3 linked regions of the Saccharomyces cerevisiae S288C genome follow. The protein of the gene in region 3 purifies or fractionates together with the protein of the main gene of each other region. This does not show direct contact. Each region holds a gene or a part of one and is shown on either strand. Other genes may lie near its edges. The genes, in order: RQC1, NOG2 and RPL22A.

Region 1 (4,561 bases), on a different chromosome or scaffold from region 3:
CGAACCTGGCTAGCGACTTTTTGTGCCTCTCCTCCTCCTTTGCCTTTCTTTCTTCTGCTCCGGCTACGTGTTTAAAATGTTGTTCTATCATTTGAGAAACCTTTTTGGCTCTTGCTATTCTTGCCTTTGTTGAACTTCTAAACAGCTTACTCATATGAATACCTTGGTTAATTAAGTGATCGGTATGGATTTGCAGATCTTGTTGTTTATAGAAATATGAAATCGGGTCTGGTTTATATGTTATGATAGTCTTGATTTCCTTGGATGTTATAGGTTGTAGTGAGTCCGTTTCTTTGTCATACTTCAATGCGCCATTTTCAATACCTTTTTTGAGTCTCGATAAAAGCCGTCTTTGTTCGTCGATGTATTTATTATATTCTTCCAGCGTTAAATCGTCTTCTAATGACTTAAAGGAAGCGATGTATTCGTGCAAGCTTTCGTATCCCGGCTTGACTACATGCAACGGGTTCGTTATGGTTTGCTTTGGAGGATGGACTACCAGTTTTATTCTAGGCTTCTTTTTCTTTCTACCTCTTTTTTTCTTTATATCTTCCTCTTCGGATGATGTGGTGAAATAAAAATTATCACTATAATGTTCACTAGTATTTTCAAAGGAGCTATCATCAGAAGGACACTTTATAGTGAAGGCTTCAGAGGGTTCTTCAACTTTTGCGATGTGATCATATCTCTCTTCAGCTATATGTTCATGCAATGGCAGTGGATTTTCCTTTCTTTCACTTTTGAACTTCAAGGACTTCGCTGCTTCTCTCTTCTTCAAATGTTGTATTGGTCTTTTTTGCGGTACTATAGATTTCCTATTTGAATGATCACTTAGTTTGTATTTTAGCTCCTCACATTTATTTCGTACTAATGGTGCTATGCTTTCTAACTTCAGTTCTATATCACCCTTTTTCTCATTAGTCGTTTCTGAACTAACAACTGTCGATGTCCTGAGGTTTCGCCTTCTGCGAGTAAGATCACCATTCGTGCCTTTCTTGGCTACGTCATCAGTGAATTTTTCTCCTCTCTCCTCTAACGACAAGTGTGTTTCCCTGAGAAACTTCTGAAAACTTTCAGAATCATTAAAATGGGTTGGATCATAATCTACCAATGAAACAAACTCTCTTAAATGGAACAGTTCATTCGTCAGAAGATCATACCTAAACTTCAAATCCGCCAGATCCTGTTCACCACCAGCCTTTTTGTCTTTCGCATGCGATTTACGAGATGTGGTCATATATTCTTGTAATGCAATAACTTGGAAAATGCAAAGAGCAGTTAGAATTCATAAATTTTCAGCTTAAGGAAATATTTTCTAAGAGTTAAAATGGTATTGTTGAATACCTCTCAAATGCAGTAATCGAATGCTTTGGGTCTTATCTAGTTTAAAGCTCAAAATCTATCCTTTTTGCACGTAAACACTTTAGAATCCCGCTATCCCTTTGCACTCTTTCTTCAAGTCTCCTCTTTTTTTTTTTTCTCGTAAGTTGTCGCGAAACGCCACCGAAAAATCTTAAGGAAATAATATTAAAAACTGAAAAAAAAAAAATTGAGAAAGTATTACCCTCCCTTAATAATCGTATAGAGGTATAAACGGGTAACATTATGCGAGCAATATGTTCACTACTGCATCAACGTATAGTGAAAAATGTCCATAGGTAGTACATACAGTCCACCAGTTGAAGGTTAACATACAGGTCGTTGAATCATCTAAATATATTTGTAAAGTACTCGAACATGAGCTCTAGAGCATTAAGGAGATTACAAGATGATAATGCTCTGCTAGAGTCGCTGCTATCGAATTCAAATGCGAATAAAATGACGAGTGGTAAAAGTACTGCCGGTAATATTCAGAAACGGGAGAACATCTTCTCTATGATGAATAACGTACGTGATTCAGATAATAGCACTGATGAAGGACAAATGTCTGAGCAGGATGAAGAAGCTGCTGCTGCTGGGGAGCGTGATACTCAAAGTAATGGTCAACCTAAAAGAATTACACTAGCATCCAAGTCTTCTAGAAGGAAAAAGAATAAAAAGGCAAAAAGGAAGCAAAAAAACCATACCGCCGAGGCTGCAAAAGACAAGGGTTCCGATGATGATGATGATGATGAAGAATTCGACAAGATTATCCAACAGTTCAAAAAAACTGATATATTGAAGTACGGTAAGACTAAAAATGATGACACTAATGAGGAAGGTTTCTTCACGGCATCTGAACCAGAGGAAGCATCTAGCCAACCTTGGAAGTCATTTTTAAGCTTAGAAAGTGATCCGGGCTTCACAAAGTTCCCCATTTCATGTTTGAGGCATTCTTGCAAATTTTTTCAAAATGATTTCAAGAAATTGGACCCCCATACGGAATTCAAACTTTTATTTGACGATATATCTCCAGAGTCTCTTGAAGATATTGATTCGATGACATCCACACCTGTCTCCCCTCAGCAGCTGAAACAGATTCAGAGACTGAAAAGATTAATTAGAAACTGGGGCGGAAAAGATCATAGATTGGCACCTAATGGCCCCGGAATGCACCCGCAACATTTGAAGTTTACCAAGATCAGAGATGATTGGATCCCAACTCAAAGAGGTGAGCTCTCTATGAAACTTTTAAGTTCTGATGATCTTTTAGATTGGCAATTATGGGAAAGGCCGTTAGATTGGAAGGATGTTATCCAAAACGATGTCAGTCAGTGGCAAAAATTCATTTCTTTTTATAAGTTCGAACCTTTAAATTCCGACCTGAGCAAGAAATCAATGATGGACTTCTACTTAAGTGTTATTGTTCACCCTGATCATGAAGCCCTTATAAATTTGATTTCTTCTAAATTTCCGTATCATGTGCCTGGACTGCTACAAGTTGCTTTGATATTTATTAGGCAAGGTGATAGATCAAACACTAATGGATTGTTACAAAGAGCACTCTTTGTCTTTGATAGAGCTTTGAAAGCAAATATTATTTTCGATTCCTTGAATTGTCAACTACCTTATATATACTTCTTCAACAGACAGTTTTACTTGGCAATATTTAGATACATCCAATCTCTTGCTCAAAGAGGTGTTATAGGAACTGCTAGTGAATGGACAAAAGTTCTCTGGTCACTGAGCCCATTGGAAGATCCTTTAGGATGCAGGTATTTCCTCGATCACTATTTTCTATTGAATAATGACTATCAGTACATTATAGAATTATCCAACTCTCCATTAATGAACTGTTATAAACAGTGGAATACTTTAGGATTTTCCTTGGCGGTAGTACTAAGCTTCCTAAGAATAAATGAGATGAGTTCCGCCCGCAATGCGCTTCTAAAAGCCTTTAAGCATCATCCTTTACAACTGTCAGAACTTTTCAAGGAGAAACTCTTGGGCGATCATGCGCTAACTAAAGATTTATCCATTGATGGCCATTCGGCAGAAAACTTGGAATTAAAGGCATATATGGCCCGCTTCCCGTTACTTTGGAATAGAAACGAAGAGGTAACATTTTTGCATGATGAAATGTCGAGTATTTTACAGGATTACCATAGAGGAAACGTTACAATCGATTCAAATGATGGGCAAGATCACAATAACATTAACAACTTGCAATCACCTTTCTTTATTGCGGGAATCCCAATTAACTTATTAAGATTCGCCATACTATCTGAGGAGTCTTCTGTAATGGCTGCAATTCCATCATTTATCTGGTCTGATAATGAAGTATATGAGTTTGACGTATTACCACCAATGCCTACGTCAAAAGAATCAATCGAAGTGGTTGAAAACATCAAAACCTTTATTAATGAAAAGGATTTAGCTGTCCTTCAGGCAGAAAGAATGCAAGATGAGGACCTGTTGAATCAAATTAGACAAATATCTTTGCAACAGTACATTCATGAAAATGAAGAGTCAAATGAAAATGAGGGTTAATAAGAAATGTTGCAGCTCATTTTCTAGTACGCAGAGTAAGGCTAAAGCACTTATTTGAATTTAACGTTATTCATTGCATAGTTCAGAAAGGGTGTGATCCAAAAGAAAATGCATATACGAGTGGTCCGACGTTTACATATGTACTAGTGACTGTATATTAATATATGCACATTTATGTAGCTACGGATTTCACTTTATAAAAGATCTTCTTTTTTGATATTCTAATATTCGTAACAATGATTTCAACGGGTAGACAGGTGCCAAACTGCTGGCAAAGATTAAGTTGGAAGCATCTCCTTTCGTCATCTTAGTATTTACATAAGTAGTAACATCATCCAAAGATAATCTAATAAAATCTTTTGAGGACTCACCATATACTTTCTTTAGCTTTCTGAAAACAAAGTCTCTTTGTTTTGACGTAGGAACTGTTTGTCTCCATTTCGAGTATTTACTAGATATTGCCTGGTATTGCATTGTTTGTCCTTCCAAGTCCGAATTTAGAGTATTTATGATTTTTTCCACCTTTGACATTACATTCCAAAGATTAGCGTCTTTTATTATACTTTTTGGAACATAGTCCGCGTATTTATTTGTTATAAAACACGGTAATTGTCGATACATTTTTAGATGATATACCATCGACAATTTGTCT
Region 2 (4,592 bases), on a different chromosome or scaffold from region 3:
CGTACCAGTAGCATTTTGCCATCTTAACACATTAGCAAACGTTGCTATTATTGATCCTTCCATAAGTAATTTCACACATCCATTTTCGTCCCTAAGATAAAACAAAGTCTCACAATTCGTATATTGATATTTCAAACCCCAAAGCCTGTAGCCTTTTGATTATGACCGACTTCCCAGACGTGGCCATATTGATAAAGGTGCTTTCTGATCAAAGTTAGTATTAAAGAAAGGGTAAAATTCGTAATATCGTAATATTGTAATATGAACCAAAAACGTTCACAATGTGTAGGATGCACTACCAAATAGGTTGCGTTGTAGTACTCATCTCTCGGTTGCGCGACTAGAAAGTTACTAGAAAACTCCGGAATTCCTTATAATATACTGCAATAATGCACATGTATCTTTTCAGTGCAAATTAATTATAGGAACAAACAGATAGCGACAATTCTTTAAGGGCTGCTGGATTGACAACCCCTTCATCGACCATATTTGATTAGCCAGCCACCAAATAGCGTTTCAATTGACAAACTACATTATCTCGTGAAGAATATTTAAACGGTGATATTGGGTCTGTCTGATCACATTTCCAAAGGCAATGACGTGTAAATTTTTTCTTTCTCTTGTTTTATTATTTTGAATTACTTCGTTATAGCCAGCTTTTCTCACATTGCGCAGTAAAACTTTCGCTATTAAGATTTTGAAAAATTTCAACCTGACAAACTACCCATTGCTATGTAAGTACAAAGCAAACAGTTTACTGCAGCAGAGTGAAGTAAATTTTTACGCATGAGTGAAAAAGTAAATAGTGACTTTGAAGACTTTTCCTCAGATGAGGAAACCGATCAACATAACGTCTTAATTCAGACCAAGAAAAAAATTTCTAGTAAGGATGATATCTTCAGTAAGAAGGTAGAAGACATCGAAAGTGAAAACGAGTCAGACATAGAAGAAGAGCAAAAACAAGAAGAAAAAGAGGATGTAGAACAACCAGATAAAGAGAATGGAGAAAAGCTCGATCGAGAAGTAGAAGAACAAGCTTCGTCCACCACTTCACTGGATTTAAAAACAGAAAAACTAAGGCAACTGGTAAAATCAAAGGCCGCCAAGAAGTCTAAACACAAGACTGGGGTGGTATACTTCTCCAGTATTCCACCTTACATGAAACCTGCAAAAATGAGACAAATATTAACTCGTTTTGGTGAGGTAGATAGACTATTTCTAAAGAAAGAGGACGATCAAAAGTACAAGCAAAGAGTTAAAGGTGGAGGAAACAAGAAAAACAAGTATGAAGAAGGTTGGGCCGAGTTTATTAGGAAAAGAGACGCCAAATTGTGTGCGGAGACGTTGAACGGGAACATTATTGGTGGCAAGAAAGGTACTTTCTACCATGATGATATCCTGAACGTGAAGTACCTCCCAGGTTTCAAATGGGCAGATTTGACTGAACAGATTGCCCGCGAGAACGATATCAGACAGGCCAAGTTGGAGATGGAAATCTCGCAGGCCAACAAACTGAACGCGGAATTCATTAGAAACGTGGAGCAAAGTAAGATGATACAAAACATTAAGAACTCTAGGAAGCGCGCCGGAAAAGAAGGAGAGTCTGCAGATTCTCACCCTCACAGGGAATTTAAACAACGTCGTGTGGAAACAAGCCGTGCCAATGCTCCCTCTGATATCAAGCAGCAATCCTCTGGGTCCAAAGACTTGGGTAATGTTCTCACCAATTTACTATAATATAGAATCAATAACAAATATATAAACACAACCTGTCATTTAGCACGTTTTTTTGCCCGATGCTCATCGCAAAAATTTTTCGCTTGAAGAAAAATTTTTCACTTTTCTTCTTTTTGGGCATATAAAGAAGCGTAGAATATATAAAAGATATTTACTACTTGTTAGTACTTTCCCTTAAGTGTTAACTTTGAAGATCTGTTGACTTGCAGCAAAACCACTAAATATCAGGGGAGGAATAATACAATGGGTACTGGTAAGAAAGAGAAATCTAGACGTATTCGTGAAGGTGACACCAAAGATGGTAATCTTCGTGTGAAGGGTGAAAATTTCTACAGAGACTCCAAGAGAGTCAAATTCCTGAATATGTACACTAGTGGGAAGGAGATCAGGAATAAGAAAGGTAATTTAATTAGGGCCGCTTCTTTCCAGGACTCCACAATACCGGATGCGAGGGTCCAACCAGATCGTCGTTGGTTCGGTAACACAAGAGTGATATCTCAGGACGCACTGCAGCATTTCAGAAGTGCATTGGGTGAAACCCAAAAAGATACATATCAAGTTCTTCTGAGAAGAAATAAGCTTCCCATGTCATTGTTGGAAGAAAAGGACGCAGATGAATCCCCAAAAGCCAGAATTTTGGATACCGAAAGTTATGCTGATGCGTTTGGGCCCAAAGCCCAAAGAAAGAGACCACGTCTTGCTGCATCCAATCTAGAGGACTTGGTCAAGGCTACAAATGAAGACATTACCAAGTATGAGGAAAAGCAAGTCTTAGATGCCACATTAGGACTAATGGGGAACCAGGAAGACAAAGAAAATGGGTGGACCTCCGCAGCAAAAGAAGCTATTTTCAGTAAGGGTCAATCCAAACGTATTTGGAACGAATTATATAAAGTCATCGATTCGTCTGACGTGGTAATACATGTTCTAGATGCAAGGGATCCATTGGGTACCCGTTGTAAGTCCGTGGAAGAGTATATGAAGAAGGAAACACCACACAAGCATTTAATTTATGTTCTTAATAAGTGTGATTTGGTACCTACCTGGGTTGCAGTATGTTAACTTTTTTTTTTTTTTTTTTGATTCTTTCCAACCAAGAGGATAGCACGAGAGATTTTTTTTTTCGATAGAGTATGATTTTTATTACCAAACCTTTTTGTCAGGGTGCTTCTCTATCCGTTTTAGGATAAACTTATCTACAGAAGTGTCTGTTACTGTTTTGGAAGAGTAATACTGTTCGCTTATCCATATTTCCCCGTTCTGGGGAAGCCTCATGGGTAAATTAGAAGGACAACCTTTGTTTTAAAGGTATACCTTCGCTTTTTAGAACAGCGAGGATCTTATGAGTTGAGCTTTTGTTATTTGAGACTTTATCTCGGGCTCCATACAATATGTTCGTAGTAAAGATCCTCACAATTTTCTACTTTTTTTTTTTTTTTAGTTTAATCCACTCTTCGAAACAATCAATCTCGGCTATAACAATGATTATTACATTCTCTTGGGGCAAAAGATTACCTATTATGAAACAAAATGTATTTTTTACTAACAGAAGGTTTTTTTTTTTCAATTCTAACTTTACAAGTAGGCAGCTTGGGTCAAACATTTGTCAAAGGAACGTCCAACTTTGGCGTTTCACGCATCTATTACCAACTCTTTCGGTAAAGGTTCGTTAATTCAGTTGCTACGTCAGTTCTCACAGTTGCATACTGATAGAAAGCAAATATCTGTAGGGTTTATCGGCTATCCAAACACTGGTAAATCGTCCATCATTAACACATTGAGAAAGAAAAAGGTGTGTCAAGTTGCACCAATCCCTGGTGAAACTAAGGTCTGGCAATATATTACTCTTATGAAAAGAATTTTTTTGATTGATTGTCCAGGTATTGTGCCGCCTTCTAGTAAAGACTCCGAAGAAGACATTTTATTCAGAGGTGTTGTCAGAGTCGAACACGTCACACACCCAGAACAATATATTCCAGGTGTTTTAAAACGTTGTCAGGTAAAGCACTTGGAAAGAACTTACGAGATCTCAGGATGGAAGGATGCCACGGAGTTTATTGAAATTCTGGCAAGGAAACAAGGTAGATTACTGAAGGGTGGTGAGCCTGATGAGTCTGGTGTTTCTAAGCAAATATTGAATGATTTTAATAGAGGTAAAATCCCTTGGTTCGTCCTTCCACCTGAAAAGGAAGGGGAAGAAAAACCAAAGAAGAAAGAAGTTGAGAAGACGGCATAGAGGTAAAAACGGACAACCGGTGTATAATATTAATTTAAGATTACAAGTGATTTTTTTTTTCTTTTTTTTTGTTATTTTTTTTTTTGTTCTTATTATATGGCAGCAAACATTCTTGGGGAAACAACATAGATGGGTAATTATTTAGTTTATAAAGTATAATATTCCAATAGAAAACTTAAGTTCGGTAATGATATAGCCCTCTCTATAGTATAAGGTAAATCTCATTATACCAGTCATTCCAAACGGAATTCGGTCCTTACCCGCTGCTCGCTCTTTTTTCATCATTATGATATTTTCTTTATTGAGTCTTTTCAATTATAGTAGTAGAATGATAACTGACAAGAAAGATCAGTTTGAAGTTTATTAGCGTGTCTCGTTATCAGGGCTTCCTTGTTTTTCATACTGGAAATACTTCGAACGATTAGAAACAGGCAACTCAATTTTATACATTTATAAAGGGTCAAAAAGGATTATGCAATCTATGAATGTACAACCGAGGGTATTAGCTGTAGGAGGTGAGCAGTTTTTCTCTCAGAGGCAGGCTTCTGAACAACACCAGCAGCAAAACATGGGACCTCAGGTGTATTCGCCAAAGGTTAATAGAGCAAGAATGTTTCCT
Region 3 (3,030 bases):
GACAAATTGATCGAGTTTTATAAATCTCCAGAACAGAAAAACAACATAGGGAGATACGTTCACATTATTGAGGATTCTCCAGTCTTCCCAGTTATTATGGACAGCAAAGATCGTGTTTGCTCCCTGCCACCATTAATCAATAGTGAACATTCGAAGATCTCTGTGAACACCCGTAACATTTTGATTGATATAACCGCCACCGATAAGACCAAAGCCGAGATCGTTTTGAACATATTAACTACAATGTTCTCACGTTATTGTGACGAACCATTCACGGTTGAGCCTGTAGAAATTGTCTCTGAACACAATGGCCAATCCCGTTTGGCGCCAAACTTCAACGATAGAATTATGGATGTCTCCATTAAGTACATCAACTCCTGTCTTGGCCTAGATCAATCCGCTGATGAAATTGCTCATTGTCTAAAGAAGATGTCGTTGCATGCCGTTCAATCAAAGGAAGACAAGGACATCTTGCACGTTGACATTCCGGTAACTAGACCTGATATTTTGCACGCTTGTGATATAATGGAAGATGCCGCTGTCGGTTATGGTTTCAATAATTTGCCAAAGGGTGAGAAATTATCCAATGCCAACTTCATTGCCAAACCATTACCAATCAACAAGGTTTCTGATATTTTCAGAGTTGCATCCTCTCAAGCCACGTGGGTTGAGGTTTTACCATTGACCTTATGTTCGCACGATGAAAACTTTAAATTTCTAAGACAATCCGACAATGGTGATTTAGCTGTCAAATTGGCCAACCCAAAGACTTTGGAATACCAAGTTGTTAGAACCACTTTATTGCCTGGTATCTTAAAGACAGTCAAGGAAAACAGAAAACATTCCTTGCCAATCAAAGTCTTTGAAACCGGTGACGTTGTATTTAAAGACGACAAACTAGAAAGGAAGGCGTACAATGAACGTCACTGGGCTGCCATCTACGTGGGTAAGAATTCTGGGTTTGAAATCATTCAAGGGTTATTGGGTAAAATCATGCAAACTTTTAGAACAGAGTGGATTGCAGACTACGGTGCTGCTGCTTCTGGCAGAGGTTACTGGATTGAAGAAGACGATTCTGTGAAAACCTACTTCCCAGGTAGAGGTGCCAAGGTCATGTTCAGATCCAAAGAAGGCGCTGAGCCAAAGCAAATCGGCCACTTGGGTGTCTTGCATCCTGAAGTCATGATGAATTTCGACGTTCCATTCGCTGCATCCTTTGTAGAGGTTAATGCCGAAGTCTTCCTATAATGTAATGTTCTAACAAAAATTTTTACTGATTTATAAAACTTATATAGATAGATAGACACATATATATATCTATATATAGAAACACAACTAAAGTTTACCATGTTTTATATAATATTACTACCGCTACTGAGTAAATGTTTAGCTTGTACTTAACTTTCAAAGACAGTTTTTTTGATAAACATCAGTACATTTAATAATACATCCATACATTTATGTTAATTTGTTTTTCCTTTCCACCTCAGTGCGCTTCTCTTTTGAAAAAATCCTCAACAGGCCACGCGAACAAATCTTACCGAGAATTTCCTAAAATGTTTCAAACTATCATTTAGCTGCATACAATATGTACATTATTAATTGAGATTAACAACTTTACCTGTACTTTACCGTTATCAAATTATAAACCACCAAAACAACAGATTAAGAAACAATGGCCCCAAACGTATGATACTTTAAAAGGAATCCACGCCCGATTACGAAGTCTATGTTTTACTGTTATTGTAATGATTGATTGTACGCGAATAACAAGGAAGATAGTAAAACCAAAAAAAAAAAAATAAAAATGTACGAAACGAAGAAGCGTCTATGTGTTTAGTTGCTTTTCTGTATTTTAAAAATTCACTACTTGAACATTGAACTCTATATCGACTCCCTTCTTTTTATCCGTTTCTGAATGTTTTTTTGTTTGAGATTGTCATATGTGATTGTTAATAGCAGTAGGCAACTTTGTGGTTTCGGGATTGAAAGAAAATCGTGAAATATTCGTTTTTTACTAACATTACTGTTCTGAAAATTTTTACTAATTTTCAATCTTTAATTTTTTTGATATAGACTTCCAGAAAGCAAAAGATTGCCAAGACCTTTACCGTCGATGTCTCTTCTCCAACTGAAAACGGTGTCTTCGACCCAGCTTCCTACGCTAAGTACTTGATCGACCACATCAAGGTCGAAGGTGCTGTCGGTAACTTGGGTAACGCTGTCACTGTCACTGAAGATGGTACCGTTGTTACTGTTGTTTCCACTGCCAAGTTCTCTGGTAAGTACTTGAAGTACTTGACAAAGAAGTACTTGAAGAAGAACCAATTGAGAGACTGGATCAGATTTGTCTCTACCAAGACCAACGAATACAGATTGGCCTTCTACCAAGTCACTCCAGAAGAAGACGAAGAAGAAGACGAAGAATAAATTCATTAATATTATTTTAAATAGAGCATAAGTTTTGTATAATTAAAATCTTCTAAACCTAATAAATATGTTTAATGAATGATTCAATATCAAAAAAAGAAATCCATTGGGCCCTTAGTGCATTTTTATTTTTTTTTTTTTTTTTTTTTTTTTTCTCTTTCTGAATTAGAGTACATCTCATCGCAGGGTCTCTTTTTGCACGTTTTTGATGTTGCTTATGAGACGCTTTGCCTTTTTAACTTCTTCAGTATATTTTAAATATATACCAATTTATTCACAATATCATTACTCTTCTCAGTTTCCAATTAACATGAATCCTAAAAAAGTGGCCCAATTGCCCGTTCACAATAAATCAACGCTTCCACCACAGGAAATAATCGATCTTTTTAAAATAACATTCTTAGAAGAGCTATATCCAAAAGATCAAGACAATGAAAAGTCACCGTTAACTGAACAAATACAGGCGGTAAAATCTGACCTTTATAACAGAGATTACAATGCTGCTTTCAATAACGACTCGAAAAGAATAGCATATTGTTGTCGTTGGTCACCGTCCAGAGCAACAAGTTACGCATCAGTATTTGCACATTTCCCTGAGCT

What was found.
Region 1: the proteins of RPL22A (region 3) and RQC1 purify together in Saccharomyces cerevisiae (affinity purification with mass spectrometry; 3 studies listed by BioGRID). This does not show direct contact.
Region 2: the proteins of RPL22A (region 3) and NOG2 purify together in Saccharomyces cerevisiae (affinity purification with mass spectrometry; 2 studies listed by BioGRID). This does not show direct contact.

What each region holds. Positions count from the first base shown.
Region 1 is NC_001136.10:1,132,608-1,137,168, reverse strand, and holds RQC1 (Rqc1p), read left to right. Parts: upstream 1-1,737; coding exon 1,738-3,909; downstream 3,910-4,561. Other genes in the region: chromatin-remodeling protein SWR1, read right to left, coding at 1-1,237; IRC3 (double-stranded DNA-dependent ATPase), read right to left, coding at 4,099-4,561. UniProt on the Saccharomyces cerevisiae protein: Component of the ribosome quality control complex (RQC), a ribosome-associated complex that mediates ubiquitination and extraction of incompletely synthesized nascent chains for proteasomal degradation.
Region 2 is NC_001146.8:720,501-725,092, reverse strand, and holds NOG2 (putative GTPase NOG2), read left to right. Parts: upstream 1-1,980; coding exon 1,981-2,790; intron 2,791-2,881; exon of another isoform or gene 2,882-3,155; intron 3,156-3,322; coding exon 3,323-3,973; downstream 3,974-4,592. Other genes in the region: RNA-binding ATPase activator ESF2, read left to right, coding at 787-1,737; CCR4-NOT core DEDD family RNase subunit POP2, read left to right, coding at 4,446-4,592. UniProt on the Saccharomyces cerevisiae protein: GTPase that associates with pre-60S ribosomal subunits in the nucleolus and is required for their nuclear export and maturation.
Region 3 is NC_001144.5:261,519-264,548, forward strand, and holds RPL22A (60S ribosomal protein eL22 RPL22A), read left to right. Parts: upstream 1-1,675; coding exon 1,676-1,687; intron 1,688-2,076; coding exon 2,077-2,430; downstream 2,431-3,030. Other genes in the region: FRS1 (phenylalanine--tRNA ligase subunit beta), read left to right, coding at 1-1,248; BMT6 (25S rRNA (uracil2843-N3)-methyltransferase), read left to right, coding at 2,639-3,030.